Struthio camelus: one gene and its partner. The protein of the gene in region 1 purifies or fractionates together with the protein of each later gene. This does not show direct contact. Links are inferred from orthologs where the notes say so. Each region holds a gene or a part of one and is shown on either strand. Other genes may lie near its edges.

The links.
Region 2: the proteins of KDM5B (region 1) and PAX9 purify together in Homo sapiens (affinity purification with western blotting, with the first as the bait; 3 studies listed by BioGRID). This does not show direct contact. The link is inferred for Struthio camelus from reciprocal best matches to the Homo sapiens genes KDM5B and PAX9.

What each region holds. Positions count from the first base shown.
Region 1 is NC_090965.1:2,924,420-2,939,768, reverse strand, and holds the start of KDM5B (lysine-specific demethylase 5B), read right to left. Parts: upstream 6,829-15,349; 5' UTR 6,595-6,828; coding exon 6,457-6,594; intron 1-6,456. UniProt on the Homo sapiens protein: Histone demethylase that demethylates 'Lys-4' of histone H3, thereby playing a central role in histone code. Does not demethylate histone H3 'Lys-9' or H3 'Lys-27'. Demethylates trimethylated, dimethylated and monomethylated H3 'Lys-4'.
Region 2 is NC_090946.1:56,058,018-56,074,077, forward strand, and holds the start of PAX9 (paired box protein Pax-9), read left to right. Parts: upstream 1-10,124; 5' UTR 10,125-10,607; coding exon 10,608-10,611; intron 10,612-11,399; coding exon 11,400-12,026; intron 12,027-14,327; coding exon 14,328-14,470; intron 14,471-16,060. UniProt on the Homo sapiens protein: Transcription factor required for normal development of thymus, parathyroid glands, ultimobranchial bodies, teeth, skeletal elements of skull and larynx as well as distal limbs.

The DNA of each region.
Region 1 (15,349 bases):
TTTAAGTTCTCCCTGGCTTTTGGAAGCCCTTAACCTGACCTCCTACCTAACACAAGCACAGAATTCTACCCAGCAATTCCCAGACAATTTGGGTTTGAAAGACAGCCTATCCTAATGGGTATGCAGGCATGAATTCATTTCATTCACCGGCAACTTTAGTTTTGTTGCTGGGAAAGAGGAACGTCTTTAGCCTGAAACTCTAATTTCACCTTCTAGCTAACTGACGCTGTTTATGTCAAGTTCAACAAACAAACCCGCAGAAGTCCAAACCTTCCACCACTATTGCCCCACATAAATAGTTTCAGACTAAACTGTTTGATTTTAAATTTTCCATGAGCTAAATCAAGCGAGTGTTTAAAATCCCTTACTGGAAGGCACTGATTCAAGGACAGGATATTCTCATGATTCTTCAAGTGCACTCTGATTTTTCAGCATTTTTGAAGTGCAGGGAATAAATCACTGGCAGCGCACCATGCCACACACAATAGTTAAGTAATATGATGTTCCTTCTTCATATTTCCCTGATAATTTAAGATCAGGGGAGATAGGTAAATAAACTACTCCGAACTTACCTAATTGCAAAGTATGATCCCTGGCTTGAACATGAAGTAAGGATTTCCTAGTGAGCTTAAGGGATCTGTTTTTCTTCGTAACAAACTGACAGCATGTAAACCAGTAACTTTTTCAAATCAGAGCACTAGAACATCTCTTCCCAAACAAAAAAAAAAAAAAAAAAAAAAGCATATTCTTGATCTGAAAGTGTCAGAAAGTGGCATATTCACCACCTCCCTTAGCCTTAGTTTTTTCCTAACAGCTGATCACTTCACTGTTAAAAATGCATGTCCTATATCTAATTCAAGTGAGCCTAGCTTACGCATAACAAGAACCAGTGGCTGCAAGCTTTCCTCTACAAGACTGATGAACGATGTAGTACTTGTTATTTTCTCCCTGTGAAGCTTGCTTACGTATTGGAATCAAGTTATCTTGCTGTTTTATTTTTGATAAAATAAACAGACTGAACCTCTGTAGACTATTCAATCAGAAGGGACCATCGTGACAAAGATCAACTTCCTGTTTAGGAGAAGTTATAAGAATTCTTTACATTAATTCCTGTTTTAACTATGGTATAGTTTTCAATTTCAGCATTGGGCAATTCCCAGAACCCTAAATAAAGCTGCTCCAACAGTTAACTGCTTTTAGTCCATTGTTTAATGGAGATTTTTCTCCATAAAAACAAAAACAAATACATAAAAAAGAAAGGCAGAAAGCAGAAGGAGTTTTCAGTCCGGATCTGTTCCTTCATCAGGCCAGCGATGCAGGCAACCAAGCTGCCGAATGAGTGGCCAGGAACAGACACTGCTTAAATCAGCCTTGTTCCCGAAAAAAACGTCCCAGAAGAACAGCCTCAGTTCTTAAAAATCCTCCAGCTTAAGACTTCACCACTCACACTACGGTAAGCATAAGTTTTTCAAAGTTTAATTTTTTTATGTGCAGAAATTTTGACACTTTTCTGTACCCTCTCTAGATCAAGTCTTCTTTTTAAAGCATGAAAATCTCAAATGAATGTACCATGCTCGCTACCATGCTACTACAGAGGTAAAAATCATCTTCCTATTCTTCACTAAGAAATTAAACAGCTGCATTCACTGATTTAGGCAAAGCAGCTAGTCTAACATCACACTGGTTTCCCCTAGGCTCTACAGTTATTTTTCTACAATCCCCCCTCCTCTAAGAGTGACCTATGCTCCTTTGTTCCTAAACGTATGACCTCATACTGAGTTCTACTTAAGTGCTTATTGTTTCACAAAACGCAGCTTATTAAGCAATCAGGATGACTCTATAACACTGAACTACCCACCACAAACCTGCAATCTATATGAAATAACTTATTTTGCTCTTCTAGACCTTTAATGAACATTAGATATTGTTGGCTTGAGATTCTGAAAGACCATTAGAAACACATCCTTCATTACAATTTCTCATTAACAGTTGAAATTATCTGTGACTCCTTCAGCGTTATATCAATTTTGCACAATACTAATTATTGTAACTAGAATATTGATTGTAAATTAATTTATAAATCTCACATCCTGACCAAAAAAAACCAACTTAACCAAATATGCAGTCTCACAGAAAACAATAAAATTGATTGACAAGACCAGTTTTCCTATAATCATATTTCATACAATCACCTTTTCAGTTCCTAGTCACTACTATATCAACTCTTAATCTACCCCGGAGTTAGCTAACAACTCCTGTATAAAGGATTTAAACGGGGACCCATTCATTTTCCTCTGGCCCTCTGAAAATTTTACAATGTTCCAGGATTAATGAAAAACTGAGTCAATAATTTAGACAGCTTCAGTGTCAATTCTGTCAAGATTTCAGCTATGCTAACACAGACCTTCCAATTTTAAAACACTTAGTCTTATCAGGACACCCTTAAGGTTATTTGGAGGCCTTAACTGCACTTCTCCATACCCGCATTCTTTAAAGCGATGACATTTAGTCTGAAATTCCTCAATTTTAATGCTTGGCTATAGGAAAATAGCATTTTAAATATATTGTCCTGTATTTTCTAGTCCAAGTAGTAAGTGGCTTCCAGTGTAAACTGGATTTTGAAACTGATGAATACAGCAAGTAAGTAAGGCTTAAGTAATCTTTATTAGTCATTTCTTCACTGCAACGAAGCAACTCTACAAGTAGAAAGGAAGATTCCATTTCCAAATAAAAGTTGTAGTAGGAACAGCATAATATGCTCTACATAATATGCTCTTTTTATTATTGAAGCCACATCGCAAATTTGTTAAGACATTTGCTTTCATTAATATACCTACTTCAAACAACAATGATACTGTTCTCAAACAATACTTTTTTTTGTTCCTCTAAATGCCCCTAACCAATAATTTACAGTGCTTTCAAAATCTTCCAGAATATAAGGTCAGCATTTGGCATGCCAAATTTTGCAATAACCCACTGTTGCAGCTTACCATTTAATAAGGAGAGCATAATAAATGGTGTTTTCAGTTCATAAAAGAAGAGTTAACTGCAACACGGCATGCGATGTATTACAAACAAGCCGTCTGCCATCCACTTTTCTCTATCAACTTTCTACCTTTGGTTCAACAGCACATAATCAAAGCATTTCTGATCTACGGAGCACATTAACTTCAAGCAGCAACCACCACCAAAAAAGCCTCTCTTCTGGCCTGAGCACTTTGCTGCCATTGGGACTATCTACTTATGCTCGAGACTGTTGATAAAAAGCATTCACCTTGCTTTTCCGTGTCACATAAAACACGAGTCACTGAATATGGTTATTGTTGCATCCTTCAAAAGATAGTCGTTTCGAGTCAACGGCAGTTAACATGGAGATTACAGTGTCCCAGAATCATTAAAATAAGAGCAAAATGAAGTCATCAGTCATCAGATGACTGGAATGAACTGAACTAGAATGAGGAGTAAGAAAGTTTCTGGGCGCTCAGGTAAAAATTCTGTGAAATTCTAGCACCACCGCGCAGAAATCATACCTCCTTCCGTTATATTCCTGGATATTCTTTCATCCTGTGAGCATGAAACTAGCATCCAGAATCCATCAGCTCTTTCACCCAGACATCTACAGTATGTCAGATACCTTGATGATCTCCTCCTCACAAAACAGTTCACTGTCCTCCAAACCTTCACCAAAAGACAAGCTACCACACATGTTTTTTTCCCAAGCTTATTTGGTGCCCAGCTAATGCTAGGGGAAAGGTACCAGAGAAAGAAATGACCCCTCCCTATGACAGAAGAGGGAACTCTCCTCACTGTGGTCTGGTGCTGAAATATCAGGGCTGGCTTACCAGGAATAAAGACTTCATGATGAATTTATGAAGTCACAGTTGGGCACCACTGGTCTCACATACAAACAACTACTTTCCACAAACCTGTGGTTGCAATGCAGACACAGAAACATAACTTCATCTTCATCTGCTGATGAAGTTTAAGGTGACAGACTTTAAGCCAAAATAATGCAAGGCCAGCAATCAAATTATGAATTTCTTGTGGATCCTGACAGTCCGCGGTGCCTGCTTGCTGTAGAGCAACCCCAGCATGTAATCTGAGTAAGAATGCAGGCAGAAGCTTCCGCTGGACATACGAAGATTTCCAAACATCAGCTGTTGCTGAACAACGCATTCAGTTGGAACATACATAATTTTGTGAAAAGATCAGTATGATTTGTAGCTTACAGCACCGCAAACCACTTGATTTTATGGGAAAGAACAATAACTACATATTTATTATGTTTCCTGTTTTCAGGAGGAAGGCCAAAAACGACATCAACTTCAAGACTTTCTATGGTAGATTTGTGAGGGCTCCCTCTAGGTGCTAGGCCAGTGAACGAAAACGCACAAGTCATCCAAGTAATTATCTAGGGTAGTTAAGAACTATGGTAGCTAAGCTCTCATGAAAAACAGGCCCTATGTAACCATTAGGTGCCCTTAGCAGCTTCAATTGTTTTCATTCTAGCTCTAAACATGTTCAGTGAAACATATGAGCACATATACAAACAGATATTAGCTTTTTAGTAAGCAGTGATGAGAGTATGCTGAGAATGCAGTTGTAATAGGTAGTTTATTCTTCAGGGGAGCTTTTCATTTATGACTCTCTAATAGATAGTGTAGCTCACAAAAAGCATTTATTATGGGTTTTTAGCTTTTTATACATGCAGCCAAACAACATTGATGAGATATTTAAACTAAATCACAAAAGAAAAAAATCTTCAAAAAAAATTCTGTTCTGCTCACAGTTGCTGAAATACTGTTGACAACATACAATCCAAAAAGATTTTCTACTCAAAAAGATTACATAAGTTCAGTGCTGACTGTATAATGAAAACCATCTTACCCCCTTAGCTATGAGTCAGTATTTGGCTCAACTGCATGAAAAGGGGTATCAGTGTATTCTACCTAGATATAAATTCAGGGGTGTTCTTGTACACATTCATACAATCGCAAATTGTGACTCTTCTGGAAAACAGCAACATCTTCCTCTCTGATGAGATTCACATTATTCGGTCTGTTACAAACCCATTTCTTTCATCTCACGACAGTAAAACATGACGAGTTGCTTCACTTTATTTTAATTCAGTAGGAAAGGGATGGTTACCAACAAGAGTCCCAACAATGATCAAAACATGAAACTGAAGAGCATGTGATTTTGAATGTTATTTCTTCGAACTCAATGTATCACTCGCAAAACTTCGGTCTACGTAAATGTTTTGTCAGCTTCACCTCTTACTGGATCAGATTTAGGGCTTTCAATAGCCGTTTAGCATTCTAGTTGTTGCCGTCATGTTAACTACCTCAAGCCAGCTGCACCACCCCAGACTTGCACTACACTCTACTTACAGAAAGAGCACTTCTCCCAAAATAAAGATGATTCACACACGTTCGTTCATTAGATCTTTACTTTAAGAAGCCCCTCTCCTCACTAGAACAGTTGTTTGCCCCTTTAAAAGAACTAAGAATTATGACTACACAAACTATGCTTCTAAGGTCTTAGAGTAATTCTCAGCAAACAGAGTCAACTAACAAAAGGAAATTAGAATTCACACCACAATTTTGAACATATTACACCATCAGTCCAGATGATGACGATGTAGATGAAGGCTTATTATTCTTCCCACTGTGTATTGCATTCTAAAATGGTGGCCATGTCTGTCTAGGATTCAGCTCGCAAAGATACCAGTCAAACTCACAGCTGCAGAGTTAGATGTTGTTCAACTTGAGGGAATAGTTTACCTGTATAAAAACTATGCCAGACCTCAGGTGCAGCCAGCGGAAGGCCACCGTGGAGCCAAGCAGAGGCGAGGAGAGGACTCCACAGCCCTACAAGACTACAATGCCAACATGGAGGGCAACACCCAAGCAGCTGCCTCCTCTAGGGCTCTGCACGGGGACTGCTCGCCCCAGCAGCGGCTCCAAGACCAAGGGTCTGGCCAAGTTGGAACTTCTTGGGGGCCGAGCAGCGGGGGCAGCGAGGAAGGCACTGCTCGGCCTCCCCGACGAGGCGGGGAGCGCAGCGCGGCCGGGCCAGCCTCTCCCCCCCGCACGCACCCACCCGGCAGCCGCTCCAGCGACTTTCCTGCTGGGCAACTCCAACACTTGGGAGCGACTTTGCCGCTGACAGAAGGGGCGTGCGGGTCGCCTTCCAGCCCCGCGACCCCCGGCCCGTGGCCATTTAAACTTTACATGGATGGAGAAGAAGGAGGAGGAGGGGGGCGGCCTGTTGCCCCCCACCCCCGGGCCGCGGTGCGCACCGCCCCACCTGCCCCGGGGTCACCTGCGCGGAGGGGCCGCGCGTGAGGGGCCGCCCCCGGCGGGAAGGGAGGGCGACGGGGTGGCCGCCGGTGCCGACCGGGCCGGGCCGCCACACAAAGGCCGTCTCCCCCGGCGGCGCCATGCGGGCACTCACCGGCGGCGGCCGCACCTTGCAGATGCCCGTCTGCTCGGCGATGGGCCGGATCTTGTGGATGAAGGCGAAGGGGTCGGCGAACTCCTCCCAGCTGGGCTCGAACACGGGGCACTCGGGCGGGGGCAGGAACTCGGCCATGGCCCGGGCCGCGGGGGCGCCGGCAGCCGCTCCGCCGCCAACCGCCGCTCCAAACAATCCTCCAACAGACGCTGGGGGCCGCCGAGCGCCGTTCGAACGGGACGTGTGCCTCCGCCGGGAGGGAGGGGGGGGGGCGCCGGGAGGGAGAGCGAGAGGCAGAGAAAAAGAGTCCGCCCCGGCCTGGGCGGGGGGAGGGAGGGGGCTGGCTGCCACCCCTCCCCCCGCGCCCGCCGTCACGCGCCGCCCGCCCCGCGCGTGTCTTTGTGCGGGGGCGCCGGGGCGGCCGGGCCGCCCCCCACCCCCTTCCCCGGCCGCAGGCCGAGGCACGGCCGGGCCGCGGGCAGGCTCGCTCTCCGGGGGCGACGGGGGGCTCCCCCGGGTCAGCCATGGCCACCCAAGGTTAAGCGTTGCCGCGCTCATAAAGCGGCTTCGGGGCGCCCCGGCGGAGCCCCGGCAGTTTTGTCAGAGAGGACAAGAAACGACGCTGGAGACGCCGCGGCCTTGGCCGGAGGGCCGGGAGGCCACGCGTTATGGGCGATTCTTTCCTTCCTCTGTGGTGTTCGTGCAGAGCGAATACGCGCTTGTTATTGTTTCTTTGCGCAGTAGAGCATTACGCCTGAAAAGGCAGCGCACTCCTCGAGTTCAGTTTGGGAAGAGCAGCCCGGACAAACTACTCGACAATCCTCCTCCTTCCTCGGCTGCTTGCCTTCCCATTGCCCCGCTTGATCATGAAGGTGCTATAAAACCATTTCTTTTGGACTCTGCCTCGTTTTTAGGAAGTTGCCGCTGCATCTTGCGTGAGATGCACCCTGTATTCGGTGTTGAGGAATTAAGAAGATGGACTGAGACCTCAAAACCTGTCGTTCAGAGATCTCCTTTATGGAGCATCGCCAGCTCGAGCCACAGAAACGCGTCCTTCCTCCCCCTGAGGACCTCACCGCGGAAGTCACACCCAGCAAAGCCAAATTCTCCCCTGGCTTCTCAGCCGAGCAGGGTCAAAGTCTAGCGAGGCTTCAGCCCTCCGCTCCCCGCCCAGCGCGCAAGATGTCCGCTCCGGACAGGGCGCTCCTTCCCCGGGCCCGCTCGCCCTCCCTGCCCGCGCCCGGCCCCGCAAAGCACAACGGCTCCTTTGTTGCGCAGCCCCTTCGGCCCAGGCCCGCGCTCCTTCCCGCCGCCTCTCAACGGCGGAGCCTGTCAGCACGGCTAATGCGGGCGCCACCCCCGACCCCCACCCCGCGGCCCGCGCTCCCTGCCGCCCCCCTCACAGCCCCAGGCCGCCTTGGGGCGGGCCGGCCGCGCCCCCGCTCCCCGCCGGGGCCGCCCCCTCCCCTGGTGCCTCTACAGGGGCTGCTCTTTGTGTGCCGGCGGGGCGGGGGCCGGGGGCGCGCCCGGCCCGGGAGCCCCGGGGCCGTTAAGACTCTCGCGCGTCGGCGAGCAGCACATGGGCCTCCAACACGGTGCCCCTCCGGGAGCTCTGTTTACATGCGCGGAGGGATCCGCCACAGCTGACAGCCACCTCCAGCCGGCGCTTCTTTTTTTAAAGAGCCTCTTCGCTCCCCGTGATTGGCTGCGCCGCGCCGCGTCACCGGCCGGGGCGGTGCCGCGCCGCGCCGCGCGGACGCATTGTCTCGTCCTGGCCCGGGGCGGCCGCCGCCAGTGTGCGCCCGTCCCGGTCCCGGTCCCGGTCCCGGCCGCGTCCGCGGCCCCGTCACAGCTCGCGACTCCCGAGCGGCCCGGCGCTGCCCGGAAGCCGCGGCGCGGAGCTCCCACCCGCCCCCCCCCGGTTCCAGATAGCCTGGTGGAGCCGGTGCCCGCGGCCGGTCCCGTCCCCCCTTTTGTTCGGCGGTTCTGCCCCATTGTCCGCGGGCCGCCGGCCCCCGAGGGCGCGGGGCAGGGCGTGCCGAGGGGCCCCTCCCCCGCTACCGGGGTGAGCGGGGCTCCCCCCCGCCCTGCGGGGGCGCGGTGAGGCGCCCCTCCCCCCGCAGCGGGGAGAAGGGGGCTCCCCTCCCCCGCGCCTGAGGAGGGCGGGAGGCGGCCCTGCCCCCCCCGCAGGGGCTCGGTGCGGGGGCGGAGGCGGCGCCCCCCCCACCCCTTTCTCCCCCCCGCTCGGCAGGCGCCGCACGTAGCGCACGTGCGGGCCGGGGGCGGCCCCGCGCTGCGCCCCGCCCCGCCCCGGCCGCGAGCAGCGCCGCGGGGGCGCCGGGCCCCGCCCGCCTGGTGCCGCCTCAGAGCCGCCGCCGCCGCCCCGGGTCCCGCTCTCCGCGCCGCCGGCAGGGCCCGGCCGCCTTCCCCGGCGCCACGTAATTTCGCAGTTGCCTACACTGCGACATACTTCATTCGAACAAGCCTAGTTTTACACCAAATGATTCAGGTTGCTTCCTGCGCGTGCTTTGTTCTCCAAATTATTTGGCGAGCTCTGTGTCACTCGCTAATCGCTATTTATTTCGTACTCCCTCCTGGATCACTGAAGAAATACCGGAGCAGCACCAGGCTGCCGTGAGCTCCCGGGACCGCACAGCACCACCTCCCCTTCCACGCTCCTCCCCTACTGCCGGCTGGTCACTCACTGACAGCACACAGGCTCAACCGGTAGAGGTTTTTTTTTTTTTTAATTAATAATGTGCCTAGTCGAGCCCTTTGGCACACCCTCTCCTGCCGCACGCTGCCCTGGCAATGCAGTTTTTCCCCTTCCACACAGGAGAAGCAGGCGGTTAAAGATTAACTCCACGCTGTTGACTGTGGTCTCTACGAGACCCTCGCCCCTACCGCCGGCTCAGGTTTGCTAGTTGGCCTTAACCAGCCATATGTACCCAACATCCTGCGCAGCTGAATTAACTGCCGCTGTCGGAATTTGTATTTTCAAAATCTAGCGACAACCCGTCTCCCACCATTAACATACTCTATCTTTCCTTGGGGACAAGTAGGGCTTTCCATACACCCAACTAAGTCATCCTTTTGGGCTCGGTAATAGCAATTATATTGTATTTCCGGTCTTCAGGAAGAATTTCTTTGCATTTGTTACCCAAACCCAGGAATCCCACCGACAGTTTCTTCCTGCAGACTCTGCCTCTGTTTGTGCTACGGAGACGCCCATTTTACTACAGCTGCTTCTCCACTGAAGCTCAAGTCATGCATCTTCTGGAGGCACCTTGTCTGAAGAATGGTCCCATGCACTGCCAAAACGCAATAGCTTTCCCAGCCTCTAGCTGTCTCCTGTCAGCATATTTCAGGGGATGGAGTGATTTAAGTTAAGAACACTTAAGTAGCTTAATACGTAAAGCAGCATTGTGCTATTTTTAATAATTGTTCCAGACCAAATTAAAGCTCTCTGCTATTGCAATTCACGATTAAGATCCAGCACTTAAACACACACACAATGCCTGCAGTTTTTAATACAACTTCAATTATTGATATAAAATTTTGCTCCTTCAAATAAGATTTGTTCAGTGTTATTGAAAATCTAAATAGGTTTTCACTTATATAAGTGTTAGCTACTTTCTGAATGCATTGGTTGAAAAAGTCAAATATACCTGAGATGGAGAGGGGGCTTCTGAGCATGTAAGCAGCTAGATGGTTTAGGAGCACGAATCCCTTAAATCGACAGAAAGCTGATGGCGCTTGCAAATACAGCCTGAACTTCCAGCTTACCAATTCCTGGCTGAAATCTAGTGGATGATGCAGAGTTCAGCAAAGCTGAAATATAAAGGACTATTAGATACCTTCCAGCTCTGCGCTTCTGCACAGATAGAGTCACGTCTCTCAGAGAGAAAGGGCTGCAGAATGAATCAATAAATGAGCAACCTGCTTAAAGCCTAGGCAGCACAGCACCTCTGTCTGAGGTGTCAAGGGCTGAGAAGCTTTTTTCTGGCCAAGGCCTTAGGTTTGACTAGTGCATTGCATCAGCAAGCATCTCAAGAAGGTGCAGCATTTGATGTCAGCATTAAGCGCTGAGCTTTTTCCTCAAAGTCTTCCCTTGCACATATGCTCTCAATTCCAGGAGTCATACCCTCACCTGTATTTAGGGAGACAACCATGCTCAGGTTGTCAGAGCCCCTGAGAGATCTTTGTCATTTGAATCACCTTAGATTTTCATCAGCTCTGAGAAGAGGCTCCTACCATTCATTTCCTTTGCTGAAATTTATCTACGGCTTGCAGAAGTCAGTGAATCTGCTTCCTTGGACAAAGCAATAGCAAGTTTAGATAGCCAGAAATCTCAAATTGTATACAAGTTTAAATACATACCAACCCCTTTTTATACCTGCACTTTATACCTAGGGAACCTCCAGTACAAATCATCTTTCAAAACAATCTAGAAAGAAAACTAAGCTCTTTAATCCTCTTCAAACAGATGCTCTGCATCACATCCAGAACTCAAGCGTCTCCAGCACAGACAGGAGAATGTTTTGAGCAATGGTTAATTGTGACTTTGGGTCTGAAAGTTCCCCAGGAGTTTCAAGGATTGTTAAACATCAGTGGCTTCTGATATTACTGAGAAGACTTTCTTCACTGTACGACTCTCTTAGGACTTGTTCAGTCAGAGCTGGAAGGACCATGTTTAGCAGGATCATTTCTGCTGACATAGTCAGGTACAAAGGCCCCCTGAGGGACTCGGATGGGAAAATACTAAGGTAAAACAGGTGCCTTACCTTGGAAGTTACAACAGAAGAGAACACACACTTGCTACAAAGATCTTAAAATGAGTTGAGGTGGGAGATGAGTTATCAAGGGATGAGCCATGATAAAAAGTAAGTTCCTTGAAGGGAGGGTGAGGTGATTCGGGTCTGGCTGGAATGATGGAGGTTTCTGAAGGTAAACAGTTAAGTCCTGGAGGGATGCCCCCTTCAGGCATCTTGCTTGTCTTTCCACCTTGCTACCTGCTAATGCAAATGCTTCATCAACACAAATGAAAACTTTTGCACGCTGCTTTCTCTTGTATCCTACTTCTGCTGTGACATCTGCTTAGCATTAGTTGTATTCTGGGGATTAACGTGGCTTTTTTGCCTTAGAAACCAATGGCTCTGGATTCTGTGCTGAATTTCCCCAAGAACTGCAGAAGCACAAGTTGAAGAAAAGCAGATTTTACTCAATTAGAATGAGAATGCAGACATGCCTCCTTGATGGTTCAGTTGACTATTTCATTAATTAAAACCTCATTACATGGGCTTTCTTTGAGCCTGTTTTCTATGTTCCCAGTGAGCAGAAATTCTCATTTGCTGCAGTTACAGAATTAGACCCAGGAGGGCTGGCAGCCCTCAAAGACTTGGAGAAGATATCAAGTAAGGGATCAAGTTGGCCCACAGTGAGGAGCATCAAGGCTTCTAGCTGAAGGAAAGCTACTAAGTACTCCTTTCCCTGGGACAGGAGGTTCCTGACAGAATTCCTCTATCCTCATTCCCCTCCTCATCCAGGGGCCTTTCTGTGCCTAGCTGCCTGAGCTCTGTCCTGAGGTTCCATCCAAAACTGTTCTTCACATTTTTCTAATGCTGAGTCTCACTTCCCATTCTGCCTCAGTACAGCTTTCTTTGTAGAAAGTCCTATCAACCTACAGAGATGTTTTGCTAGTCTCGTTTCTTAAGTTGCTCTTGCTTGGGATGGATGGGAATCATAACTGGGATTTTTCCTACTAGTTCAAGCCTCTCCCCTTCACTCTTCTGCAGTAGTAATTATCCATGTGGCACTGCCTATTTTGCTTGTTTATAATCAGAGCCCATATTGGCAAGCATGGGGTTAGATATCTGACCTTTAGACAGTGCAAATAATGCAAGCTCAATCTCTCCCCCTTATTTAGATGTTCTGGCTATCCTAGACCACTTCTCCTTTTAGGACAAAGGCCAGGTACCAGTTCAAGTCATTCCAGTTAAGCCAACAGTTAAGTCGGTCAGATTGGTATCTGCTAACTCTCAATCAGGTCCTATCTGTTTCTAGGCATACACTACAGAAATGTTAACTCCAGGGCAAAGAACGGCCACTCTTGAAGGGGAGCAGCTGGCAAGACACTAGGCCTCAGTCAGAAGGATCCTAGCAGCTGGGAATCCCCGTTTAGTTTGTGCAACTCAACAAGGGTTCTAATTGCAACCACCTCTTCTGGCATCCACTGAGCTCTGGACAAAGAGCACTGGAAACTTAGATGAGGAAAGCCCATTCCCTGGGCCTCCAAGCACAAAGAGCTGTCTGTGCTTAGGACACTGAAAAAGCAAAACACACACTGCTTCCAAAGGCTCAGCAATTAGCCAGTCTCAGGAGAAATACTAACATTACCTCAGGCTTCACTCCAGAATCACCTAGAAGCAAGCTGGAGTAGATCCTGCCCATGGGAGTCCAGTACACAATTTTAGACCAAGATGTCCATAGGCTTAGTACCACATGTGGAGTTTACAGTCAGATGTGTGTCATAAAGGAAACTCCTTTGAGCCAAAGCATTCATTTAATCAGCACAGAGTTTGGCCTAATTAAAATACTATGTGTTTAGAACACAATACAGGGCAGGGAGGAAAATATGCTGAGCCTCTCAGCTCTAAGAAAATAGGTTCCTGGGAACAGATTTAGTAAGCAGAATCTATGACAGATCAAACCAAACCAGTTTTCCTGGGCAAACAAACCAGCAGCCTGTAAGAACTTGCAAAGCCATTTAAATTTCATCATCAAGGCTAGAAAAGAGTTTAGCTTTCCAGAAAGAGCCAGCTGCCCCCAGAGATGCTGATGCATGTCAACCCTTGTTGAAAGCACAGACTATTAGTGTCTAGCTTTTGCTGTCTGGGGATCCTGGTTAGAAATGCAGGGAGCTTCTGGATATACCAGGCTTGGAAATTTTGTAAGCACAGCTTTCAGCTTGTAGACATGGTAGAGGGTCTCAGACTATCTCACATTGCATCTCGGCCAATTCAGAGTCCAAGTCTCAACAGAAGCATTCTTAGATGAAGAATTTGGTACAGTCCTTTGCTGGCACCTTTTGCCACAAGTCAGGAGAAGCATCAGTTTCAATAAGTAAATGTCCTGCTACTTCTTCCAAAAGCTGAGCTTCATGCCCTGCTCTGGCTCACGCACCATTCCTCCTTCGTATCTGTATGATGCTGTGTGTGTTCTGGGGAAGCCTAACAACTACCACTAGCTCTTAACTCTTCAGATTGCAGGCTGAATGTGTCAGCTACAGGAAACCATGCAGAGGGGCCACGTTGAAGGGGTAGGCAGGAAATCTGAGCCTTGTTTGTGGGCTAGAACTGAGCTGGCTGACCAAGGACGGAAGTCCCACAGCTGCACACAGCTCCTAGTGGGGACTATGTCAATAGACAGGTAAGAACAGCTGGTAAGCATGTGGAAAACTAGAATGCCTCTGTTCAAATATGGAAGTGCTTTGCAGTTATGCAACTGCCTTTAGCATTTGTTTTATTAATAAACTAAAGTCCCCTACCCTATCATTAGCTACTATTAAAGGCCGAGCAAAGTCTTGCTCCAAATCCTGGGCCAGGCTATCATAGGAACAAGGATAAGCAAGCCACAACCTTTGGAAGCACTGGGAAGGCAGAGCTGAGGTAGTTTCGCACACATTACTTCTCCCAGAGAGCTGCTGACTCACACTCAAGTTTGGGTTGCACCTCCTTGCTCTCGAGTGTGCTAATAGCAAATGGCAGCATGGGGCACACTGTGCTTCCAGGCAGGACATGCATAGAAGGTGGGACTTTTCTGATTATTACAGTAGTCAGTAAGGCTCAGGCCCTATTCATTTCTATCTTAGGGCAGGTGTCTAAAGATAGGTCAGTTATTTCACTCTAAAACCCCTTTGTCTGCACTGACTGTAAAGAGAGCCTTGGGTGACTAATTAAACTCTAGACATCTATGCTTAGGGAAGTAAACCCCACCTATGAATCCCTGGCAACACATAATGGGGCAGCTCAGGTCTGGGGAAATGCAGCCTGCCACAATGCATAACACTATGCACCTTTTTCTCCCTTAGAAAGAAAAATATCTAGAAATTAAGATGTAGCTTCCCCATCCCTAATCCCTTTGCTGCAACGACATGGAAAGTACCATCACAGCTCTTAACCCCAAAAGTATCTGAATTCAAACACATGCAGTTTCTTTACAGGGTGAGTGGAAGCAGCATTAACAGGCACTTGGAGGAGGCTATACCTTCTGCCCTTCTTGCAGAGCCTGCTATCGCAAAGGGCAGACACAACGCATGGCCACAGATAAACCCACCACCCTCCTCACCACAATTCAGTCGTGCTACACAGGCCCAGGCAAGGGGCAAAGCTGGTCTTGCAGAAAATGTTTAATTAACATAATTTGCTCCTAGCTGAGCTTCCTTTCTCTGCTATAGCTGAAATTCCACCACCCCTCCCCCCCCCACCCAAAATGAGGCAAAGACACACTCCAGGTTTCACTTGCTTTTAGCCACACATATCAAGGACCATATTAAAAAGCAATAAAGAGACTTCATTACCTTGTGCAATAGCTGAGGATTTAGCTACCATGTGCCTGGTTAACTTACAACTGCATTCAGGTTGTATTTACATGCCTAGTTCAAGTATGTAGTTACTACCCAAATCCTCAAAACCCCCAATAAGCTACGATCTGGATTTCAAACAGCAGGTATAGACAAAAGTCAACTAAGGCCTGGTGGAACACCTAAAATAACTAAAAATTTACAGTCCAAGGCTGGACAAACAAGAAGTCAGAACAGGAGTAAAAGAAAAAGCTTGGGTTTTAAACTGGCATCATGTGCTCTGAAGAGTCCAGGAAAAACTGATTATAGAGG
Region 2 (16,060 bases), on another chromosome or scaffold:
GCAGCGGTGAGCAGCCGTGGATCAGTCCAGGGGCAGCAGCCGGCAGCAGTGAGCAGCAGCCCGCTGTGAGCCGGGGCGTCTGGCGGCATGGGACTGCCCATCGCCACTGAGACGGTGCTCAGCGCAGTGCTGCACTGCGCTGCACTGCACACTCAGCACTGCACTGCACAGTGCTGCACTGCTGCACTGCACACTCAGCTGCCCCTGCCTCCCCACTCCGGCTCTGCCGCTCGAAATAATCCCAGGGCCGTGCAGGAGGGGCTGCAAAGAAATGTTACAGAGGCCCCTGGCAGAGGCCGGATCCGACTTTCCATGACAGAAGCTGTCGGGGATGCTCTAGGTGCACCTCCTTGTCCGAGGGCTGCGATGGGGAGCCCCCTCCCCTGGTCCTGTGCGCCCTTCTCTCTTCTTGGTCACCTGGGCTATGGTGCTGGCTAGGCTGGCACCCGAGGGGCAAGGGGTTCACTTTGGCTCCCAGCTACTGGCTCGCTGACTGGAAATCCGCGCTCTCTGCCCCGGGTTGAGAAAACGCAGCCACTGGAAAAGGGGGGCTGTCGATGGCTGCAAAATCGCAGGAGGACAGGGGAAGCCAAAAATCCCCGTGGCTGGCCCCGGTGGCAAGGCACGACCCAGATCTTCCCTGTTTCATCTGCTATTGCTGCATTTTGGCAGAAAAAACACATAAAATAAAAGCTTCTCTCAAAAGTCGTTTTCCGGACACCGCTAGAAGCCCGAGCTGCAAACGTCTCGGCGCTGAACCGCCCGCTGGTGCGCAGCGGCCGCTTTGCCTCTCCCCAGGAGTCACTTACGTTTGATGAGGACTTGTGAGGTGTAATTAAAAGTAGGCAGTTAGAGCATCTGGGATCCCCTGCAGCGGGTGCGCGCATGTTTCTAGACGGGCTGGGATCGCCCCTTTGCTCTTCTCCCGTGCCTCCTGGTGCGCCCTCACGGGGCATGCAGTGCCTCCTTTTGTAGCTTGCAAAAAACGGACACAAACTTCAACGTAAAACAGGGAAAGGTTGCTAAATCAAGGCACTGAGTTCTTCCGTCCTCCTAGAAGCAGCCGTTCTTCTGCAATGGAAAAAATACGCATATTCAATACACTGATGTGCATTAAACGTTGTAACGTCTCAATACTGTAAATGCATTGGATCGGTTTTATCCCCTCAATTAATACATTGCAGGTGAAGAAGAAAAATATCTTGCAAACGAATTCGAGACGGCCCGGTGCGAACTTCATCCCCCGAGACCCGCCTTTCCGGGGCCACGGGCTCCCCGGCAGGACCGCGCTCTGAGGCCGGCTCCGCCTCGACGGTGCGGAGCGGCGGGCGGCGCGGGCGGCGGGCACCCTCCGCTCCCCGCGCCAGCTCGCCCTGCCGCTTTGCCGGAGCAAAAGCGCCAGAGCAGGTTGCTGAGGTTAATTTCAATTTGACAGTTGCATGGTGTGGGGGGGAAAAAAACCCGACACTTTCATTTCCAAACGTGCCAGTCCTCTTCGCTGCCCACACACACACGCACACGCACACTGTGTAAGCGGGCAGGGCTCGACCCCGCACCCGACGTGTGGAAAACACTGAGTTTCACCGCAGAAGCTTTAAACTGGGGCGTCAGGAATTTTTTTTTTAAGAAAACAGCAATTGACAGTGATCTCCACGCTCTGTTACGTCTTTGCTGTTTCACGTCACAAATAACTTATTATCGCGTACATGAATAATGTCGCCAAAGCTATTAAGAATGGGGCAAAAAGCGCGGCACTGAGGTCCCTCGGGGGCCCGCGGAGCGCAGCTACAAACCGGCGCAAGGGAGCAGGGACTGCGAGGTGACAAAGTGGAGCTCACTTTTCTCATCGCGTTGTTTTTGTTTGTTTGTTTATTTTGTTTTTTTTTCTCACAACGAAATGAATCCCTCAAATGGGGAATGAAAGAGTTTTCTCTAGACTGTTAAACATTACAAATAGGCAGAAATTCTGCGGTGCAGCCTGAGAAGCTTTCTTTCTTTTAAAAAACCTGATCGCAGTTCCCGTCTCCTGAACTATCAGGAAACGAGCGCTCCTGATTATGTAACTATGCAATGCAAGGGAGAAAACGCCGTTTCGGTGGAAAACGCTAACAGCCCTTTTCTTTTGCAAATGCCTATCACAGACTTTGTCCCGGTGCTCAAGGGCCCTGACAGTCCCACCTTCCCTGATATTTCCACCTGGATAACCTGCAACGTTCCCCTACAGCCGCAGGTACCGCTGTCCCTTCCTGCGTACAAACCTCAGGTTATCTTGCAAAAATAGTGCATGAATGTAAAGGTATACACATTTTTTTGATAAAGAGTATATGCACATATAGACGCATAGGGTCAGAAAACTTTTAAAGGCACAGGATCTAGTGAAAAAGAGCGCACTTTTAAACTTGATCAGCAAGGATCGCCATCACCGCACATCTCGAGGACAAATATTTACAGTGTCAATTTAACCGTGGGAAAGGATTAGCAGGCGCGAAGTCAAGTGAGGAAACTTCCGCGCCGGCGGGGCCGCCTGCGGGTGCGCGGCCCGGGGCCCGCGTCCGCTGCCCCGGCTCCTGGGGACCCGCCTCGGACCCCGCGGGACTGCACGGACGCAGCCAAGGTGATAGTCCGCTGGCAGCCAAGGCCGTCTCCATTAAAGACGCCAGAAAAGTAGCAATTGTTTTCCCCGGGAATTTCTGAGACCTTCTTTATCAATCGTAGCGTAAAGCTTCACCGTGAGCCAGAGAGCAAGGTTTCGCTCTTGCAGGGCACAGGCAGAGAGCGCAGTATATACACGCACTCATCTCGGCCGCTGCGCCGGGCGCGCTCGTAAATTCCCCGTGCGGGTAGGTGCGCTGGGCTCCCCCCGGGGAAAGCAGGGCGGGCGCTCTGCGATCCCCCTCTGCTCGGCCCCCTGCCGGCACAGAGCCTGGGGACCCTCCAAATGTTGCTGTAGCTTTTGTTTGCGGGGGTTGCCTCCCCCTTCCCCCCCTCCCCCGGAGGAAGGGCTCGGTCCCTTCCACCTGCCGCGGCGCGGAACCGCCTGCGTGTGTTTGCCCACCCGTGCGCGCTCATGTGTGTGCCTGTGCACAGCTCAAACGAAAGCTGCAGGGCAAAGCAGCAGCTTTTGGAGTCCGAATTTCTGCCGTGTGTCCGGGCAGGCGACAGAGCTAACAGGGCCGTCTCAAACGCTTCTGGTTACTTGAACACAGCTCAAAAATCAAGTATTCCTGTAGGTGGCACTGGTACTAGGTGTTGTAGAAGCAAACGCAGAGATGGAGAAAATTGCCTAGAAATTCCCAATTGGTTCCTATAATTTAACGCAGAACAATAGAGGTATTTTTTTCATTTACTCTAAATTCATGTAACATGCGACAAATGAAAACCCGATTGCTTTATGAGAACAAAATATGCTTTTAAAATCTGGCCCTCTGTAGCTTTATGGCCTGGTACATGAGAATTGTCTATTTTCCTATATGTCATTAAACAAATCCTAGTGCAAAGAGAAATTAACTCAGCACCGCTCATTCAAGTCAACTGTTTGCACCAGGAAAGCCCTAATGAGACACTGTCTGGTTTCCAGAGGGGTTGCTAAGAACAAGTGGCGGCAAAGTTATTAAATCTGTCCAAGCAACTAACACATCATTAAGAAACCCCCCCAACCCTCCCAAACTTGACCTGAATATTCCAGCTAGGGTGGACAGTGCAGGGCAGCCGCCCGGCGGCCGCAGCCGGGCGGGAGCCCCCACGAGTGGGACCCCTCGCCCCGCGTGGGGAAGGAGAGGCAGGAGGGAGCGGCTTGGCTTGGGGGGCCACCGTGGGGCTTCGTGGGGGAGCCCACTCTGCGAGGACGCCGTTAACTCTTTGCCCGTTGAGGCACCGCTGTACCTTTACTTCACCTGTTCATGCGTCTGCCGTGTGCTACAGCGAAGTGCAAGCGCCTGCTCGAGCCTTCACTGAAGAGGGTTTGCTGGGGACGGGGGTGGCGGGTGGAGGTGTAAGGTCAGTCACTGCAGAGCAACCGGGTCTGTCTGTCACCTCCTCACTCCCGAGGGGAGCAAAATACATCGCTTCTTGCCGGCGCCTCCACCCAGAGGTGTTCGCCACCGCTCGCCTGACCTTTCACGGAGCTTCCCAGGCCCCGTCTCCCGCGGGGCCGGCGGGGTGGCCCGTCCGCGGCGCCCCGCGGCGCCCGGGACCCGGCAGCGCCGAGGGCTCCGTGGGCCGCAGCGGCGCGGCGCTCTGCCGCCTGCTGCGCTGCGGCTCCGCGGGGCGCGGGCCGCCGGCGGAGCCCGCCGAGGGCCTGGCCTTGCGCCGGGACTGCCTGCCTGGGCACGGACAGGGCTGTACGCTTTTGGCGGAAAACAGGCAAGCGCGGAGCCTCGGGGAACCGCTGCCTGAGGACAAGCGAAACGTTTTCGCTCCAGCCGGGCAGCTGAAAAAATCCGACACTGCAAGTCAATTTTTTTAACGGGTGAAACGGACCCTCCCTGCTCCTTCAGGGCAAGACCCCGCGGCAAGAAAAGAAACTACTACTTTTTTCAGGCGGCTGTGTCCTACCCAAAGAACATGACATTCAAAAGTATTATCACAGGGGAGGCTGCCTTGATTTCTTTGTATCTGCCGTTTCCCCCCTGGTTTCGGGGTCTGCCACTGCCAATGTGACTCTAAGACCCAGCTGCGTGTTGCTCGCCATTGCTGCCTAAGAGTGCCCGAAACGGTCGGACGTGGGTTGTTTGTATTTGATGAACCTCTGAAAAACAAAACTTCCTCCTATTACGCTTCCGTGCTCCGATCTGTCCCTGACTGCGAATCGATTCGCGAAAGTTGAAATACCCACACAGACACACAAACAAGGGCACTGTCCTCCCCACTCCCTACCCCCAGAACTGTTTGAGGACAAGACAAAATCTGAAGTTCTTTCGTGAGCATTTCAGAGTTGTTGCAAGTACTTCCATGCGCTTTTCAATCTTTTGTTAATTGAATTAATGTAAAATATCTCCCTCCCCCTGGGATTCGCATATACTTTCGCATATGCATGCAGGCAGCGTATGTGAACACAAATGTATAGGCATTTGTTTTTTAGTGAGCTAAAGTAAGGCAGTGGGCAGCAATAACAGAAAAGACACGATATCTGTACCAAAGAAGGATCGTCAACGTTTCCCGGGACCATTCTCAGGAAGCCTTCTTCCCCCCTAGAGGGGGAGGACAAATGGAAAACGAGGGCTGCCCCTATAGCAGGGAAGGAGCCGGGGGTCGCCAAGGGGCTCGGAGGGGCTGTGGGAAGGCGGCGGTCCCTGTCTGCAGCCCCACGCTGGCTGAAGGGGTCATCTCCTTCGGAAAAAGCTCCCCTCTCCTTCAGAGCCACTTCCAAGCAAGGATCTGCCAGGCACTTTCTTGAAGTGAGTTTGTCCACGGCTGCACAGGAGGGTGGACACACCTGAAACCTGGGGTTGAGGCCAAGTATTTTCGAGGCAGCAGGCTCGGCGGGGAGAGGGAGAGGGGAGCCCAGGGCCACCTTCCCTTGGAGAGCGCGGGGCGGCGGGTGTCCCTGCGGCTGTGCCCCCGGCACCTCGGGGCCGGTCAGCCCCTGCCCTCACCCCTCTCGGTGGCAAGGTGCCTCCTCTGACCTCCTAAGCTACGCTGCTCTGTCGCGTAAGGAAATACCCATGGCAGCCGCTAACAAGCGAAGGCCCCTTGTTCCTGCATTTAGTTCCTCACATATCGCAGCAAACGCAAGCGATCCTGGGAGACACCGTGGGATCTTCTACCCCAGGGTCTAAGAAACACTCTGTGCAAAATAAAAGCCTCATTTCAAAGCTAGGTGGGTGTCATCTCTTTCTACACCACACGGCACTTTCGCTCCGGGATCGGTCACCTCCAAAGGGCAGGCAGAGCCCTCTCGTCTCGCTCTCTCTTTGAGGGTTATAACGGTCTCTGCGTTTGCCCTAATACCCTCTCTGGTTGCTCACTCCTCCGCACACCGTGTGCTCAGGTATAGCAGCCCTCCTTGCCAGAGGCCGGGGGGTCGCTGCCCCTTCACCTGCCTCTGCCCTGCTTTTCCTTGCCTTTCTTTCAGAGCTGTCCCCAAGCCTCTCTGACGCCGCCACCGCGTTGCCCCCCATCCCTCCCCCTACTCCAAGGTGCTCTTTGCCCTTCGGGTTGTCCCCAGAGGTTCCGGGGGGCTCTCGCGGATCTGCCCTGCGCCCGTATGCCTGGGGCTGGGGAGGAAGGGGGGGGCAGCAGGACGGCTCCCTTCCGTGCTTCTCCTGCCACCAAGGCTCAGTGGCTCTAAACTCCCGCCACATCAGACCCGCGCCTTCCCCACGTCACCCTGAGCAATCCTGCTACCCGTGCAGGGGACCTTTGCCTTCAGGAAGGGTCACAGGGAGGCTTTTTACTTACAAAATATCTTGCGTATGAGCATCCTTCTGCCTTAATAGCTCCTCAGTAGTTACCTCCCCCCACACAGTCGCTGAGAGGGGTTTAGCTTCCTTCCAAAAAATCATTAAAAATCAGCAGCTTCAAAGAGGGGCTGGGAAGGGGAGGGGGGGTGTCACGTTTTATTTGGCTGATTTCTTCCTTCAGTGGGAGAGCAGAGGAAGCTGGAGATCAGTGAGGCACTAAATCACGAGGAGCCTCTACTGAAATACTGGAAGGCCCTCATGGAGGAAAGGCTCTCTCTGAAGGCGATGCACGGAGATGGGAGCTGTCTGCGGAAAACATGCCGAGGTGAGCGTCTCGCTGCCGGGAGTGGGGCAGGCTGCGGGCCCTTCCCCAGCCTGAGCCAGGCCAGAGAGGGCGGGATGCCGCCGTGCCCGGGGAAGCCCCTTCTAGCGGCGGAGGACGCTCAAAGGAGCCCGTGGGAGAAACGCTCCCCGAAGGCCCGGGCGATCCCCTCTCTCCCCGGCCCCAGCAGCGCCGGGGCTGGAGAAGCCGCTAATGCACTTAGGGGGGAGGGTGGACGGGAGGGGGGATCGCCCGGGCCTTCGGGGAGCGCTTCTCCCGCGACCTCGGGGCGCCCCTGCGGCGGAGCGGGGCTGCCCACGCAGGCTCTGCCCAAGCGGGGAGAGGGCGGCTGGGGAGGGAAGGCAGCCGGCCGGCCACGCACCGGCTAGTGCCGTCGGTACACGCGATTTCCTACCGAAAATCCACTCGAGCGAGATTTCTCGAAGGAAAGCGGGCGAGAGAGCCCGGTTAGCCATGCGAGCAAGAAAAGGGAGAAGCCGAGGGGCAGCATCTTGTTTCCCTCTTGTATCCCCCGATAAAGATGTAGCACACGCAGAAGTAACCCCCGAGGGAAAGGCGGGCACCGACATGGGGGGCTCTGACAGCAGCGTGCACAGCTCAGTCCCTCTCTTCAGCACTGCCACGGTGAAGGAGAAGAAGGGGAGAGAGGGGAATCTGGCTCTGAGGTTGCCCTTGCCCGGGTTTCTTTCCGCACCTTTGCGTTGCTTTGCGCAGCCCGGGGGGAGCCCGCGGTGGGAGAGCGGGTGCGCGCCGGGCGGCCGCCTGCGGAGCGGCGAGGTGACCCGCACCTCGGGCGAGCCCCCTCCCCGCCCTGCCCGGCCACGAGTGCCCTTCCCGGGGGGAGGCACCTCCTGCCCCGCTCCCCCTCCTGCCCTCCCCCCGCCCTTCCCCTTCAATTCTTCAATTATTTCGTACCTGAAAAAAGTAATCTCTTTGCCAGGCAGGTCACAAGCGATCACCAGGCTGTTGTATACTGTAATGTTTTCATATTCCTCTCGGCTCCCCCTGCCCTCTACCGACTCACTGTAGTTGTGACCTTTGGTATTTCAGCCCACACTCAGCAGTTGAATGGAAACAAGTTGAGCACGTTCACTTCTGATAAACATTATCCTTAAACCACTAGAGACTCGAGCAGAGTAAACGAGCTTTTCCGACAGGACCACATCAGGAACACACATTGAGTAAGGCAAAGAAACCAAATAGCCAGGGGATCAGAGGCGGGCTCGGGGGTGGAGGGGTGGGAGAGGGAAGGAGGGGGAACAGACAGGTTGGAGAACACGGCGGGGGGGACAGAAAAGGACACGATTGTCAACACAATAGGCACAGATGGGGAGAGAAATTGCCCAGGCAAGGCGAGAGAGAGCAGCGCAGGGTCACATCCAGAGCATCAGAATAACCCTGGGAGGCGGGGGGGCTTCAGGGGCTCAGAGCGGGCCCTGCATCTCAGGAGTCCCAAGGCCAGGCTTACACAAACTGTGTGCCTGGAGATCGCCCCCACTCGCACTTCGCTACTCAGTTAGAGCGGAGTTGAAGAAACAGGAGGAAAGGAAATGTCTGTGCAACACAGGCGGCCGAGGGGTCCCAACATCGCGGTGCAGAGCTGCAGTGCTTGGCTGCGGCAGGAGTCGCCTGGCACGTCCAAAGCTCTCGTTCAGTAAGGCAAGGGGAAATTGAATCTGGAAAAAGGGCAGCCTTGTAAGGGATTCGTCTAGCGATTATACTGTGAGAAGAAGTATAATATTAGTCGAGATCGGAACTTTTATGAACACGCGCTCCCCTCCATTGTTATGCTACATTACATGATTAAACTAATTAAATGCTGAGTCTGGGTCCCACTAGTTCGATACCTTCTCCCTTAAAAATCTCTGAGCAAAGCAACTCAACTCAAAACGTCAAAAAGGGCTAATGCCTAGCAAATGCCCGCGAGGATTCCCTGCGCAGGATGCGATCCCCTCGGGGAGACGGTATTTGCCCATGTGGAGGGGGTGCTTTTATCAAGGCTGAAGAAGCACCACCATTTACAAGTGCGATATTCTAAATGCGTAGTTCGCTTTTCTGAACAAAAGGCACAGAAATTCCGTACAAAATAGTTATTTTTTAATGCCTGCGGAGGAAATAAAAGGATCTGCCGATGTTCCAAACAAATAAAATCATGCCTGCGAAGGAACCACGACCGCCTTCTTCCCACCACAAAACGTCTGCAGCATGCCATTAATTTCTGGGTGATTTCCTATAGCATCCTACTTCTTCCTAATTATGCGTATTCACTGAGATATGTGCAGGCTCTGACATCCAGCTCACTTCATTTGATTTTTACATAAGTATTACTTACAAATATTTCACTTAAAATAATACTCATACAGGGTTCATACGCTTCAGAGACAGCAAATTTATATTTTAGTCGCTGATATTTCGTGCACTCCAGTCAATATATTATTTATTTTAATTTTTTATTTCATTTCTAGATCCCGTTTCTTCGAGGGTCGATTAAAAAATAACAAACAAAAACTCTCAAAACATTCGAAAGAAAAACACGATAAATTCTTATTTGGAGTTAGGAAGCCTCTGATCTCTGTGTAACATGATGTATGTGGGATGCGTGTAAGAGGCTCACACACACAAGCTGGCAGATTAGCCAAACCAAACACGTATCACTCTCTTCCACATACACAAACACACCATGACCCACACATACTTTAATTCCTAGCAGCTTTGTCTATTTTTCTTTTAACTGTTAATACGTAGCAGTGTCTTTGATAAGGGTTGAAATCAGCTGCAAGGCGTTGACATTTTACGGTGCTATATTTTATATAGGGATTACGACTAAACCCGAGACGGTCTTTACTTTGACGGCCGGGGAATATCAGCACCCCGATGGCCAGGCGCCGCGACCTCCGGTCCGTCTTCTCCCGGTGCAAGCGAAGCTGCGGCTGATTTCGCGACCTGCTTGTAGTTCCCGTGGAAAATAACTTAACCTTCATCGCTCGCAACACTCTCTTGCGTTAACCCGTGAAATGTTCATTAGTTTAAAAAAGCTTTATTTAAAGATTACAATAAGGCGGTGGTAAACAATAACTTTCTCTCCGTCACATGCAAAATCAATGTAGGAAAACCGTGCGTGTTTCAAGGCGTCATTATTTTCTTCTGTAAAAGCGCCGGGGAGGGAAATCTCTAGTTACTGGCTATAAGCCCCCCCGTCCCGTCCCCCCTTATCCTGGACAAGGGCTGGGAAGGCCGAAGCGCCGCCGCCGCGGTGCTGCACGGCGGTGCCGGGCGCTGCGCCCTGCCAGCCGCGGGCACCCCAGGGCGCAGCGGCCCGGGGCAGCGTGCCCGCCCCCGGGCACAGAGGGCCCCGGCCCCCTCGCAGGGTGATGCCCTGCCAGAGCGCTAGCCCCGAGCAGCACGGCCCCGGCATTAATTGCACTTTCCGTAAAACTTACTGCCAGGCAGGTATTAAATAGTGATTTCTATTGTACTGGGGACCCAGGTGCCGAGCACGCCTGCAAGCGAGAGCGGAAGGGCCGCTAGGATTGTGCTGTCTGTCATCTCCTCTGGCCATTAGGAGGGCGGCTGGGCGGCGGGGCCGCCCCCGGGGGCGGGCTCGGGTGAGTGATGGGCTGCAGCGCCCTGCCCAGCCCAGCCCAGCCCTGCCCACGTTGCCCTGAGGTTGAAATGCAGAACTCAAGGCTCTGTCTTCGGGAAGCAGACTTCCTTGTAGTCCTTTTTCCCCGCACCCTTGCTACCTCCTCAGTGGAAATCAGAGAGCTAGTGCAGCCGGGAGCGCAGGCGGCTGGGAGCGCGTCTCTGTTGTTAGGTCTCCGTTTGGGATTCAGGGCAGCCTCAGAGGTGTCCTGCTCAGAGGAATGGGTAAGTGGCTGGAAGCTGCAGGAGGGTTCAAGTGCTGTCAAGAGAGAGGGAGCACCCGCGCACCGTTGTGTGCCGCCGCAGCTCCCTTATTGACTTTGCTCGTGTTCCTACAAGTTGTAAGAACACGTTAAGGGTCAGGAGCAGGGAAGAGCGAAAGCTAATGACTGCTTGGTTTATTATTAATGTTATTAGGCGAGAACGAGGGAGGATAGCAGCCGAGCGGATGGCTGGAGCCTGTGGCACGCTGTATATTATTCCTGACACCGATCTGAGCAGTTAACATTTTAGCACGTTTGTTTTACAGCCTGATGTAATTGTGCTGTTAAGCGAGAGGCGCTAACAGCACTAGAAATAGTCTTTAAAAAGTTAGTCGCGACCAGTCTTTCAGAAGCACCGCGTTGCCCTTGCCTCTCCCAAGATTTAGCAGAATTTCCTCAAGTGCTTCCCCCCCCCCCATGTCTTTGAAAAAGGTTTTTCTTTCCTTTTTCTTTTCTTTATTTTCCTTTTCCTGTGGCAATAAAGCTGACTTGTCTGGTGGGGCGATCTCATTTTTCATCTCTGGAATGTGCTTGTTTGGAGTATGCTTGATGCACAGTTTAGAGAGCTTTGACATTTGTTGCTACTTTTTTTTTTTCCGGGGGTATCCCGTTATTTGAAAGAAGTGTGCGGGGAGTGACTGGGGGGGTCTCTCCGAGCTGTGACATCTACCTTTCAATGACGGATAGGTCGGACGCCCTCTTCTGAACCGTTTGCATGTCCAACGGGTGTGTTTGTGTGTTTGCTTGCAGAACCTGCCTTCGGGGAAGTGAACCAGCTCGGGGGGGTGTTTGTCAACGGGAGACCCCTGCCCAATGCCATCAGGCTCCGGATTGTGGAACTGGCGCAACTGGGTATCAGACCGTGTGACATCAGCCGGCAACTGCGCGTTTCCCACGGCTGTGTCAGCAAAATCCTGGCTCGCTACAACGAGACCGGCTCCATCCTACCAGGGGCTATCGGAGGCAGCAAGCCTCGGGTCACCACCCCCACGGTGGTAAAACATATCCGGACCTACAAACAAAGGGACCCGGGCATCTTCGCCTGGGAGATCCGGGATCGCCTGCTGGCTGACGGAGTGTGTGACAAGTACAACGTGCCGTCGGTCAGCTCCATCAGCCGCATCCTCCGGAACAAAATTGGGAACCTGTCTCAGCAGAGTCACTACGAATCGTACAAGCAGCACCAGCCGCCCCCACAGCCGGCTCTGCCCTACAACCACATCTACTCCTACCCCAGCCCCATCGCTGCTGCAGGAGCCAAGGTGCCCACGCCGCCCGGGGTGCCCGCCATCCCCAGCGCCATGGCCATGCCCCGCACCTGGCCGTCCTCCCACTCGGTGACGGACATCCTGGGGATCCGCTCCATCACGGACCAAGGTGAGACGGGGGAACCGGGGCCGCGGCCGCAGTGAGGCAGGACCACCGTGTCTCCACCTGGCTCCTTCCTCGCCGGGTCGGAAGGAGGGTTCACTGATCCGCCTCGAGAAACCTACAGATTTGGCGTATTTTTCCCAGCCCGAGTTAGCCAACGAACAACGTGCCCCGTGACTCGGGCAGATCAGAGGTCCCGGGGATGGGCTGCAGGCTTAGCAGCAAATGTTAAATATCGGGCGTCGCCGGTAGCGCCGTGGCCCGAGACGTGGCAACTTCGGCTGGAGGAAAGGGCCTGGGGGCGGCAGGCCCACGGCCGGGGTGCGCTCAGTCCCGGCCCGGCCCGGCCCGGCCCGGCTCGGCCTGGCCCCCGCACTGCCGTCCCTGGCCCGGCCCGGGCTCGCGGCCGCCCTCGAGTCACGGGAACCTCCTTGGCGTTGCCGAGAAATCCGTTCTCTCTAGTTTTCGCAATCAGGCCAAATTTGCCCAGGCAGGAAGTTCAAATGTCACCTAATTGCTTTCATTCTGATACTTTTGTTTTCCTCCGAAGTGGTGGTCCAGGAAAACGAAACCCTGAAGATTTGCTTCTTTTATCCTTTCCACCTTCTCTCTGTTACTCCGGCTGGAAACTGTGTCGCCTCTCCCAGCCGCTCGCTAGGCTGTGCCGCAAAGAAAGGGACATTTTTTCCATTTCGGTCTCTGCCAGCGAGCTAACAGTGAATGTGGTTAAAACAACAGTCTAAAATAACCTTCGCCTACAGCGATCTCTGTGTCCCACTCTTCCCTCCCAATTAGCAGAAGGGGCGGGAGGGGGGGCTGATTTCTGTTTTCATTGCGTTTTTAACGGCAACAATCCAGTAGCAAATTACTACTCAAGTGTTACAAATACAAATTACTCCTTTATGTATTACAAAATAATTATTTTTTTCACAAAAAAAAGAACAGCTGATTATTTTTTCAAGCAAAATACATACATGCGTACATATACACACACGAACAAATGTGTTTGGGAGCTGAGTTTAGAAAATACGCTCCTGGCAGTCTCTGTTCTATGCCGGAGAGAGGTAGTGTTAGAAATGAACATTACAAGGAAAGAGAACATAACAATTACATGAGAAAGGGAGATTTTTTTAGTGAGTTCCTCTTTTATTAACACCACATTGGCAGGCAGGCCTCTGACGGTGCTGCCGGGTGTCTAGCTATCCCCCCGGTCTCTCAGACCTCGAGAGCTGCATACGTCTTTCTGCAGCGTAAAATCTCACCCCCCCCCCTCCTTCCCAGGGCAGAGCTAGGGCTGCTGAGCAGCCGATGCCGCAGATGGGGGCTGCTTGCCCTTGATTTATAGGATAAACTGACCTTGCTGACATGGAAAGGAAGCCCCTATTCATGGGAAAGTGTGAGATCAGCAGAAAAGGGCGCTCACCGAGAGAGCTCAATTTCTTAAGACAACTTCAGATTTGTGCCTTTCCCCAGCCTCGGCGAGGGGCCGAGCGAGGCGGTGTCGCAAGAAAGCCGCTTCCCACGGCTGCCCGGGCCCGGCGGCTCCGCGGCCCGGCTCAGCAGCCCCGCGGGTTCTTCCGCGGCCGGGCGCGGGCGGCTCGGGGAAACCGCTCCCCCCGCCCGGCTCCCCGGCGTGTCCGCGGAATTTGCCCGGTATTCCCATGGCACGGCCGATGATCGTGAAAAGGATGGGACTTCTCTCTCTCTCTTTTTTTTTTTTCCTTCCCTTTTCCCTTTTTGCTCCTTTCCCCCCCCGCCCCTTTAATTTTTTTCTCAGAAAGTTGTTTGGAGCCTGGTTCATTTTTCAGCCCTATCAGGGTTGTCTCTAACAGAGGATATCGTTTGACCTCGGACACACGGACACAGACACATACACACACACACACACACGAGGCGATTCACGTAAATCTACCTTGGGAAACCCTGGGGGGCATGTGACGGGGGGGCAGCTCTGTCCTGCCAGCGCTGCGACGGGAGGATGAGCAACATCAACCCGCTCTGCGCTTTGCTGGCGATTTACTTCCCGTTTCCATCAACTGTACAGTAGAAAACCGAAGGGAATAGCCGATTCTCTCAGGGGATCCCCAGAGGCTCAGGCCGGACATATGCAAGGTGTGAGGGGCGAAGGAGAGATTTCCCCTTAGCTCTGCCCCGCAACCCCCGTCCCCCAGCGCCCTGCGGTCCGGAGCCCTCTCTGCACTCCCGGGGCAGGTCCCGCTGGAAGAGGGAGCCGTGTCCAGCCCCAGCAAACTGCCCCGCGGCCCAACCAGCGCCTCTAACTCCTGCCTTCCCTGCTGTGTTCCCCAGCAGCGAGTGACACGTCGTCTTACCCCAGTCCCAAGGTGGAGGAATGGAGCAGCCTGGGCCGAAACAGCTTCCCCCCCGCGGCCCAGCACGCCGTGAACGGGCTGGAGAAGAGCTCCCTGGAGCAGGAGGCCAAGTACAGCCAGGTAAAGAGAGAGCGGGGGGCGGGCGGGGATGCACAGGGCGTCTGAGCGTGGCCTCCGGCCGGCCCCCGTGCTGCGACCCTTTCCCGCTGCTCTTGGTTTCAAGACGCTCCGGCCTTCTTTCAGCGGCAGCGGGGTTTTGGTTTGCAAACGAGCCCACGAGCCCATAAGGAGAGGGGACGCCGGGAAAGAGCTTCGCTCCTTCCTTCCCTCCTCTCCCCTCCCTCAGCACAAACAGCAGCCAGGCCCCTGGGAGACCCTAGCCCTCCTTTCTCCTGGCGGCTTTGCCTCACCTGGCTTTGCTGGTGCCCAGCCCGGGCCGCAGGGCTGTGCCTCTCGCAGACGGCAGGGGAGCACCCGCTGCTAATCCTTGCCAGGCGCCGCACTCCAAACGCTGGCCCCCGCTCCCCCCCCCCCCCCCGCCCAACCCGACTAGCCGACACCCGAGAATCGCCGAGCACCTGCCCCTGCAGCCTGCCGGCGGGGCCGCCCTGAACCCCGCCGCCGCGGCGGCCCCGTCGGAGCCGGCCCCGCCGCCGCCGGGGCTCTGCCGCCGCCCAGCCCCGAGCCCTCGCCTCGGCCCGGCGCCTCGGCCCGCGCCGGGGGGCTCCGCGCTGCGCCGCGGAGCGGGGCCGCGCCGCCCCGGCCTCCCCCTCGGCGGCTGCCCCGGCTGCGCGGGGCGCGCCGTGTTTCGCCGCGCTGCCACCGCCGTCCTTCAAGACACACTTTGCACTGTCCGCAGCGAGTACTGTAGGCAGGGGAATAATTTGAAAATGAGGTGTAATTGCTTCCTACATTAAGTATTTTTAAACGCTTAAGTAGGCTGTGAATTTCCTACATATTAATTGCAACATAATATAACTGTTACTTAATAAATCTCTGTCTAAATCTTTGTACTTGGTAATCAAATCCCATGCCAGGAGACAAGCTATAAAAGACTTAACTGTTACTAGTTGGGAGAGCACAGCTTTTGAAAACGTTGCCATGCAGTGGAAACAAATTTCTAAATGTATCAGAGGATACATTCACTGCCCTGCAATTCGTTTGTTACACTTGTAATTAAATCAAGAAAAAACTACCGTCTCTATTTAGCATGTTACCATTCAAGAGCAGAGTTTTTGGACGTATTTGCTGAAGTTCTGTGACTGGTTTTGGATTCCGTACTAAAGAGTGTTCTGTATCTGCAGTTTGGTGCTGAGAGTAGTTGAATCAGATCCTTTCAAAATCAAGATGTTGAGCGTACATCGAGCAAACGCTTTCAAAAAAGTGAATGAGGCAGAATGGGAAATATTGTAGGCCCCAAACACGAGCAACCAGCTTACTACATGTATCACCTTGCAAACGATGTACAGGCCTTAATGGTATCCTATTTGTTTCCCATTACATTCTTACTATTATCCCACTATTATTCTGTTCGTTTCCTCTTACAAATAATGTGTTACGTAGTATAGCCATTAATGCAAAGTGGAAGATAGAATCAGGTTTAGAATTAGATTTAATATTTAACTTTCCACAGTTTTGTTTAAAAGTGAAACAAATAATGCGTCAGCAATCTTAATAAAAATTATGGAAATACCTTGTCATTATCCTGCT